2 linked regions of the Rattus norvegicus genome follow. The protein of the gene in region 2 purifies or fractionates together with the protein of the main gene of each other region. This does not show direct contact. Links are inferred from orthologs where the notes say so. Each region holds a gene or a part of one and is shown on either strand. Other genes may lie near its edges.

Region 1 (4,250 bases), on a different chromosome or scaffold from region 2:
TTGCTATATGCTATATTATTAACACACACACACACACACACACACACACACACACACACACACACACACGCAGAGTTGCTCTGTGTAGCCCTGGCTGTCCTCAAATTCTAGAGATCCGCCTGCCTCTGCTTCCTGAGTGCAGGTTTTAAAGAAAGGCGTGTGCCACACCACCACTGCCTGGCCCTCAGCCTCTTAAAATTAAATTACAGGCCAATTTAGAAGTGCTAATGTGGGCTAGAGAGATGGCTCAGCGGTTAAGAGCACTGACTGCTCTTCCAGAGGTCCTGAGTTCAATTCCCAGCAACCACATGGTGGCTCACGACCATCTGTAGTGGGATCTGATGCCCTCTTCTGGTGTGTCTGAAGACAGTGACAGTGTACTCATATACATAAATAAATCTTAAAAAAAAAAAAGAAGTGTTGATGAAGAAAAAGAAGCAAACCAAAGAAGAGCTTTAATGTTAGAAACTGTAGGTTAGTCACAGTACGTGCGTTCATCAGGACTGTACTGTTCATTAACTTTCTGCTGGCTACATGTAGCTTTGCATTCTTCAAATGGGAATGTAATACAGGTGTAAAATGCACATTTCAGACCTTGTATGGGGAAAAATCTTTTAATATTAATTACATAGCGGAGTATTTTTTGGCATGCTGGGTTAAATAAAATATATTAAAATTTCTTGTTTTAAAACCTTCTGAACATGGGTGACAATTAGAATTACTTATGGAGAAAAATGGGGAGCTGACTCAGTATAGAGCTTGTTATGAAAGCTTGAGGGCCTGACTTTGGATCTCCAGTACCCAAATAAAAAGCAAGGTGCAGAGCAGAGCATGAATGACAGTCCACGGCTTTAATCCAGCACTGGAGAGGCAGAAGCTGGTGAATCTCTGTGAGTGTGAGGCCAACCTAGTCTATACAGCCAGGGCCAGATAGACCCTGTCCAAAAACAGCTGGGTGCAGCAGTTTTTGCCTGTAATCCTAACAACATGGCGGTTAAGACAGAAATGAGAGGATTCCCTGGAGTTTGCTGCTCAGCTAGTCTAATGAATCACTGAGTTCTGGGTTTAGTAGCAGAAAATGTCTTGAAAAACAAGGTATGGAGTCATTGAAAAAAATACGTAATGTTGACATCTGGCTCTACAGACCCCCATACATGTGAACAAGCATGCAGGCACACACAGGAACATGTATAAACAATACAAGTTATAGTAATTTGTATCTTATTCCTTTTTTTGTGACAGGGTCTCTCTGTGCACTTGGTGCTGTCCTGGAACTCAATAGATCAGGCTGGCCTTGGACTCATAAAGAGACCCACTGGCCTCTATCTCCTGGGTACTAGGATTAAAAGCATACATGTCTTGTTTTGTTTTGTTTTAAGCTAGGCTCTAGTGGTGTAGATTGGGCTCCTTTCAACTCTTCCTCTGCCTCCCGAGTGCATGCCTTATACTTCTATTGAACACTGCCACTTTAGAGACAAAACAGTGCCGTTCTGAAGGCATTAGAAAAACTGCTTGAATAAAAATAGGGGGAGACATATAGGTGGGTGGTGCTGAATATAGAGCCCCAGGGCCTAGCACATGCTAAGTTTGTGCTCTACCAAGCAACTGCTCTTTTCCCCTCTTGAGGCAGGATCTCTCTTTAGCCTAGGGTGGTCTCACTTTTTTGGCAATCCTTCTCCCTCAGAGTCCTGAGAATGCTTTTGAGCTTGGGATTGACCAGGGCTCAGCAAAAGCTATCTCAAGGAGTATTTGTGGTCTCAGATGGCTACTCCTGATTGCCAGCTTGACTACATCTGGAATGAACATCCAGAAATGGAGGATACAGCTGGGATCCAGATCTTGATGCTGGAAGACACAGGCTTCTGACCTGTATCTTGACATAGAGATTTTGAGGCATAGTGACCATGAAAACTTTGAGGCCCAGGCAAGGTAGTATATGGCTTTAATCCCAGGAGACTGAAGCAATCAGATCTCTGAGTTCAAGGTGCAGGTGTGATGGTATACACCTTTAATCTGGGCCACATTTTCTGCTGGAGGCCTACGTAAGAACAATGGAAGAGGGAAAGCTCTCTATTCTTTGCCTGCTTGCACTTTGCCAACACATCTGTGGGAATGAACTAACTTCTTCCAGCTCATACAGAAGACAGAGTGGGACTGAGCCACTACTAAATACTTGGACTTCCACTCACAGCTGCCCATTGTTTGGTTAGTTAGACTGCAGACTAAGTCATTACAATAAATTCCCTTTAAATATATGGAGACATTCCATAAGTTCTGTGACTCTAGAGAACCTCTATGGTCCCTCGAAAAGACCCAGCAAATAAATAGTGGGAAGTGTCAGTAAAGTCCAGGCAGATAAATGTTAGCAAAAGTTTGTATCACACAGCTGTGTGTGGGATGCTCAGTCCTTGTGGCAGTTAGCATGTGAGATCCCAGACGTTTTCATACAAAGATAGTGTGCTCCCAGTAACAAATACGGATACGGAGGAGTAGATAGGAAGGAAAACCCTGTAACACCTTGGTCAAAACCGTATTTGTGATAACTAAAACAATAAATGCAAAGATAAATTAAAGGTAGATCAAGTCTATCTCAGGAAATGACCAGTTGTATGTACACTTTTTTTTTCTTTTTCCTTTTTCTTTTTCCTTTTTCTTATTTTCGGAGCTGGGGACCGAACCCAGGGCCTTGTGCTCGCTAGGCAAGCGCTCTACCACTGAGCTAAATCCCCCAACCCCCCATATGTACACTTTTATATAAACACATATATGTACATACAGACTAATTTTGGGGTTTTTTTTTTGGTTTTGTTTTGGTTTTTTTTTTTTTTTTTTTTGGTTCTTTTTTTTTTTTGGAGCTGGGGACCAAACCCAGGGCCTTGCGCTTCCTAGGCAAGCGCTCTACCACTGAGCTAAATCCCCAACCCCAGACTAATTTTGTTAATACACACATACATTCTTTTTCTTTTTTTTTAAAGATTTATTTATTTATCATATACAAGTACACTGTAGCTGTCTTCAGACACACCAGAAGAGGGCATCAGATCCCATTACAGATGGTTTTGAGCCACCATGTGGTTGCTGGAATTGAACTCAGGACCTCTGGAAGAGCAGTCGGTGCTCTTAACTGCTGAGCCATCTCTCCAGCCCCTCTTTTTCTTTTTTCTTCTGTAAATTAACCCGTTTATTGCAGGCCAGGCAGGTCTCAGATGGTAGGGAGGGCTTCTACTGGTCTTTCAAGGCCCTCAGTCTTCTGATGGCAGACTTCACTGTGACTGCAGAAGTGGTACTGTAAGTCCAGGCCCCGCTGGCCACTGTTTTCACGCAGGAACCACAGTGCCAGATGCCAACAGCTTGTCTCTTCATCTTGGTCTTGCCATAGAAGGAGCAAGTGTACTTGGTGTGCTGGCTGATTTCAATTTTCTTCACCATTTTCTAGACGGAGGGACCATAGCGGGTCCTGTATCTCCCCACAATCCTGACCTTCTTAGTGCGTTTAGTCAAATGGCCAAAGCCCAAACCTGAAGTACATTTTTTTTCTTATGGATACTTTGATGCATAAACATAGATTGGTGCTGGGTCTTGCTAAGGACATAATTTCCCTAACTGAATTTTGTAGTCCTGACATCAAGGGGTTACAGGTCTGTGTTACCGAAGCTTTTCCTTTTTTTTTTATGATTTATTTATTTCATGTATGTGTGTACACTGTCACTATCTCCAGACACACCAGAAGAGGGCATCAGATCCCATTACAGATGGTTGTGAGCCACCATGTGGGAACTCAGGACCTCTGGAAGAGCAGACAGTGTTCTTAACCACTGAGCCATCTCTCCATCATCCCTTGGAACTTACTATGTAGACCAGGCTGGCCTTGTTCTCACAGAGACCTACCTGCCTCTGCCCCATTAAAGGCATGCACCACCATACACAGCTTTTGTCTACTTTTTCCACTTAGATTTTTCATGTTTCTTCTATGTTCTCTCATGTTTTCCCTCCATTTATTTATTTGGTTGGTTGGTTGGCTGGTTTAGTTTCTCCGGAAAGGGTTTCTCTGTGTAGCCCTGGCTGTCCTGGAACTTCCTCTGTAGACCAGGCTGGCCTTAAAATCAGAGAGATCCAGCTGCCTCTGCCTCCCAAGTGCTGGGATTAAAGGTGTCTGCTACAAAAATCAACTATTGGCTTTCTTCTTAAAAGAAAACACTGTCTCAGATTAGCCTTGAACTTCCTATGTAACCAGGGAAGATGACTTGAAC
Region 2 (4,259 bases):
CCTCACTTCCCTCCAGCTCCCAAATTCCTGCCTTGGTGTCTGCATGGCTGGAGCCACAAAGTGTTAAGTTTTGTGTTCTTTTCTGTGGAATAATTGTGCTTTTTATCTGAAGAGAATTCAACCAAATCATATTCGCTTTTGCTTTAGAAGCTAAATTTACTGTTATTACAATATTGGGGAGGAGGTAGAAATCAGAGGACACAGTTCAGAGACCTATACCCTCTGCGAATCAAACTCAGGTCCACTTGGCTTGGCAGCAAGCACCTTCACCTGCTGAGCCTTCTGGCTAGCCCTTAGCAGCCTAGGTACTTAGAGCCTTTTAAAGTTTGCTACCCTGCTCAGAATAACTAAAATGCTATTCCATCCATTCACCTTCTTCCTGGATGCTTTTGTCTAGAAGGTTATACAATTTGGGTTTTGGTTTTGGGTTTGTTTGTTTTTTGTTGTTGTTGTTTTTGCTTGTTTGTTTGTTTTTTGGCTGGTTGGTTAAGTTTGGTTTTTTGTTTTTAAGATGTAGTTTTACTCTTTATCCAAGGCTGGTCACAGACTCAAGCAGTCCTCCTATTTCAACTGGTCAAGTGCAATTAGAAATGAAACAAGATGTCGACAGTCTTCTGCATATGCCTCAAACCTTTGAGACAAGGTCTCCCAGCCTGGAGCTTCCATCCTTTTGGCTAGGCTGGGAACACACACACACACAGACCGCCTGGTTTAGTACATGAGTGCCGGTATCTCGACTTTAGTCCCTGTAGTTGTATATCAGGTAGTCTTAACCTCTAAGCCATCTCTCTAGCCTAGCTCTCGTTTACTGTTTTAGAGAGAGACAGGTCTTGATATGCGCTCCAGGCAAGCAGTGAATGCCGATCGGCCTTCCCTCACTAGAGCACTAAAAACATGTCACCATGCCTGGCTTCTTACATTGTTTTGATGTTAAAAACAACTTTAAATCCTCTCTGAAATGTTGCTGATAGGAAGATGTAAACGTGTATAAAGCATCTATGTTTGACCCTTTAAAATTGGTTTCCATTCTCTTAAACAGCCTGCATTCAGTTATCTCCAGTTGCTGTCCATCTGCCTTGTACTGCTCTCGCCTGTCCACTCACCGCATCCATTTCTTTCCCCCTGCCCTCCCCACACAGATTATTTGGGATCAAAAGTGTATCAGTCTTTATCTCCAGAGGTTGAAATGTCTACTCATGAATAATGAGACATTTTGGGGATGAGATCCAAGCGGAAACTTGAACTTCACTTACATTCCATTCGGACCTCATCCACATAAGATGAACATGGTCTTGAACAAGTACATACTCCTAGGCTCCTGAATTATGACTGACATAATTTATGTAGTCAAGTATGGGATTTTCCACATCAATGCTCAGTAAGTTACAGATTTGGGAGCAATCCAGATTTCAAATTTTATACTTATCTATACTTTAAATTCTGTTCACGGTCTGCCCTCTGCTACTCCATGTAAAATGTCACACCTTTATCCTGGCTATGGTTTAAATTATATGTCAACCACTAGCTGGCACTGTGTTACAGTGTGTGTCCCTAACAAGCTCCCAAAAGCAGGGACATGTCTGTGGCTGTGCCCTTGGTACCCAGAACACAGGCTGGAATAAAATCATCACATCAAAGAAACATGAGGGGTTTTTACCAGAATTCCAAGCCATCTGTGACACTTCCGATGCCACAAAGTACAGTGGTCTCACAGAGCAGTTCCTTATATGTTGCTCACATCGACTTGCAAAACTACATAAGGAAATTAGTAGTAATTCTAACTTGTCAGTTCATCCATGTAAAAGAATTAAAAGCCCTGCTTTCTTCTAAGTCCTTCCAAATTTTCCCCTAGCTTTTGTTTCACTAAAAAGCAGATACAAAATTATTTCCCAGACACCTCCTATTCTCAAAAGGACCAAGGGTTCAATCCCTGCCAGCCATTCCATTCTATTCCCTTGGAAACACCAAGCAATGTTGAGTTCTTACTCAACATGTAGCAGGTATTCAATATACTGTTAAGGACAGTTTAGCTGTATTCTCTTTCCGGGAATCCTTGGGTTCAATCACCATACCCTCTAACCTTACTCCCAGAAAGGAAGGGATGCACTTTAAAAGTAATCTTCCATTGTTTTAAAGTAAAGAGTATAGCCATTTTTATGTGCTCTGAAGCACTTTTCAAATTGTAATTCCACTTTAATTATGATATCTACACAAAGTAGGAATTACTACAGGCTGAAAGAGTTGAAAAGCCACAGCCCAAACTGTCTGTGATACTCTCCAGCTTCGGGGACTAGAGCCACTTAATAACCCACTTTCAAATCCAGTAATTTTCTTAGTTGCCTTTGTCCAAAGGAAAAATTTGTAAAATCCCGCACACTATACGGCGGGAGCAATTGGGACCTCAAGGTCTCTTGCTAACGTGTCCACTGCGACTGCTCGAGGGAAAGCAACGGAAGTTGGAGAGACTTTGCAACAGCTGCAAGAGTTTCAGTCCCGGGCAGAGAGCGACCACGGGGGTGAGGCAAAGTCCCGCGGCCGGTGTGCGCTCAACCCATGGGACCCCAAGGCCTCGCTAGTCCCCGGGCGGGCCCCACCTGGTCAAGAGCGCGCGGACCTTGGCTGCAGCCGCCCGCCTCCGCTCACCTTTCGTCAGCGTGTCCAGCACCCCCGACTTCTCCAAGTACCTCCGGAACTGCTCGCGCTTCGAGTCGGCGGCCTGAGGAGACACGGCGGGTCAGGGACCGGAGCCCGGGGCCGGAGCAGGAAGACGGCGCGCCCCGCCGCCGGCCCCAAGCCCTGCACGCGCCCCAACTCCCACCCGGCGCCGCCCGCACGCCCCGAGCCACGCCGCGCCCCCCTCACTTTGTAATGGGCCATAGTGACAGCCACAGCGGCGTAGCTGGCGCCGGAGACACTGGCTGGCGGGCTCCAAGCCTCACTGCTCCTGCGCGGAACGGCGCGCGCGTCTGCGCACTGGGCAGGCACGGGCCGGGACCGCCGGGGTGTGGCCTGTTTTCATGGCGACCGGGACGCTGTGTATCCTTGTCTCCTCGGAGCCCAGAGAGACTGCGTGCGCCTGCCCTACGCGGTTCCGGGCAGTCTCGCATCTTCCTGTTCCGGTCGCCGCGGAGATTCGGTTGCCTAGCAAGAGGCGAGGTTTCGGTAAAGCCGAACGAACGTCCTGTGAGGCCCAGTATGGGTGTGTCCGGGAGTTAGATGCTTTAAGCGTAGCATCTCTCCACGTGGTAGTAGTCGCGCACTCCTTGTCTTTTAGGTCTTTGGTGGGGAACCGGTGTTTCAGTGTTTCTTGGCTCTCAGAAAAATACCCAGCACAGGAGAGGTGAAAGCAAAACAGGAAAAAGTTCAAGGTCACCCTGAGCTATATAAAGAGTTTGAATCTCTCTTGGACTCCATGTTCAGGGTGCTCATGTAAGCCCAGTACGGTTTGCAGATAGCAGCTGGCTGGGAGAAAATTTATCTCTACAGTAATGTTGGATTAGGTGAAAGACCTCTGAAGTCGTGATTCTTTTCCCTGCCTTTGTGTCATTAGTTTTCTTTTTGTTTTTTTTTTTTTTTTTTACCCCGTTGGTAGTTAACATTAAGTTCTTTTCCATATATTATGCATGTATTTATGTTGAAAATAATTATAGGTAGTACTAAGTATGTATGTCTCTCTAGTTCCTCCTTCGTTCAAAAATGCTTATCCCACTTTACCCATCCAGAAGCCACCCTACATGCAGAAGATGAATTTAAAATGTGGCTATGCTGCTGGGTTTGTTTGTTTTGTTTTGTTTACTGAGAACATTTCTGGGTGCAGAAGAGGGCCCTTTGGTGAATTTGTTGTTGTGCCTGCTACTTGGCTAGATATTGTTTTGATGTCTTTGAATAGAAGTCATTCTATTCACCGAGCGCTGGTGGCTTACGAATTTAGTCTCAGTGCGAGGAAAGGAGAGGCGGCTGAATCTCTTGAGTTCGAAGCCAGCCTGGTCCAAGATGACCAAGGCTACACAGAGAGACCCTGTCTCCAAAACAAAACAAAGAATTCATTGTGTTCTTGTTTCAATGTAAGGCCCTATCCTCACCTTTTTGGGGCAGGGTATTCATGCCTCGGTGCGGTTGGAGATCCAAGACTCACAGGACTTGCTCTCCTTCTGACTCAGTAATTGAATTACGATTGTCAGGCTTGGCGACAAGTGCCTTTACCTACCATCTTACTGGCCCCTAGCTGCATAGTTTTTAGACTGTTTAAGAAAAGCGAA

The links.
Region 1: the proteins of Mycbp (region 2) and Spag5 purify together in Homo sapiens (co-immunoprecipitation; 3 studies listed by BioGRID and IntAct, with this or other methods). This does not show direct contact. The link is inferred for Rattus norvegicus from reciprocal best matches to the Homo sapiens genes MYCBP and SPAG5.

The regions. Positions count from the first base shown.
Region 1 is NC_086028.1:63,692,134-63,696,383, reverse strand, and holds the start of Spag5 (sperm-associated antigen 5), read right to left. Parts: upstream 3,085-4,250; 5' UTR 1-3,084. UniProt on the Homo sapiens protein: Essential component of the mitotic spindle required for normal chromosome segregation and progression into anaphase. Required for chromosome alignment, normal timing of sister chromatid segregation, and maintenance of spindle pole architecture.
Region 2 is NC_086023.1:141,419,416-141,423,674, reverse strand, and holds the start of Mycbp (C-Myc-binding protein), read right to left. Parts: upstream 2,949-4,259; 5' UTR 2,878-2,948; coding exon 2,863-2,877; intron 2,717-2,862; coding exon 2,644-2,716; intron 1-2,643. UniProt on the Homo sapiens protein: May control the transcriptional activity of MYC. Stimulates the activation of E box-dependent transcription by MYC.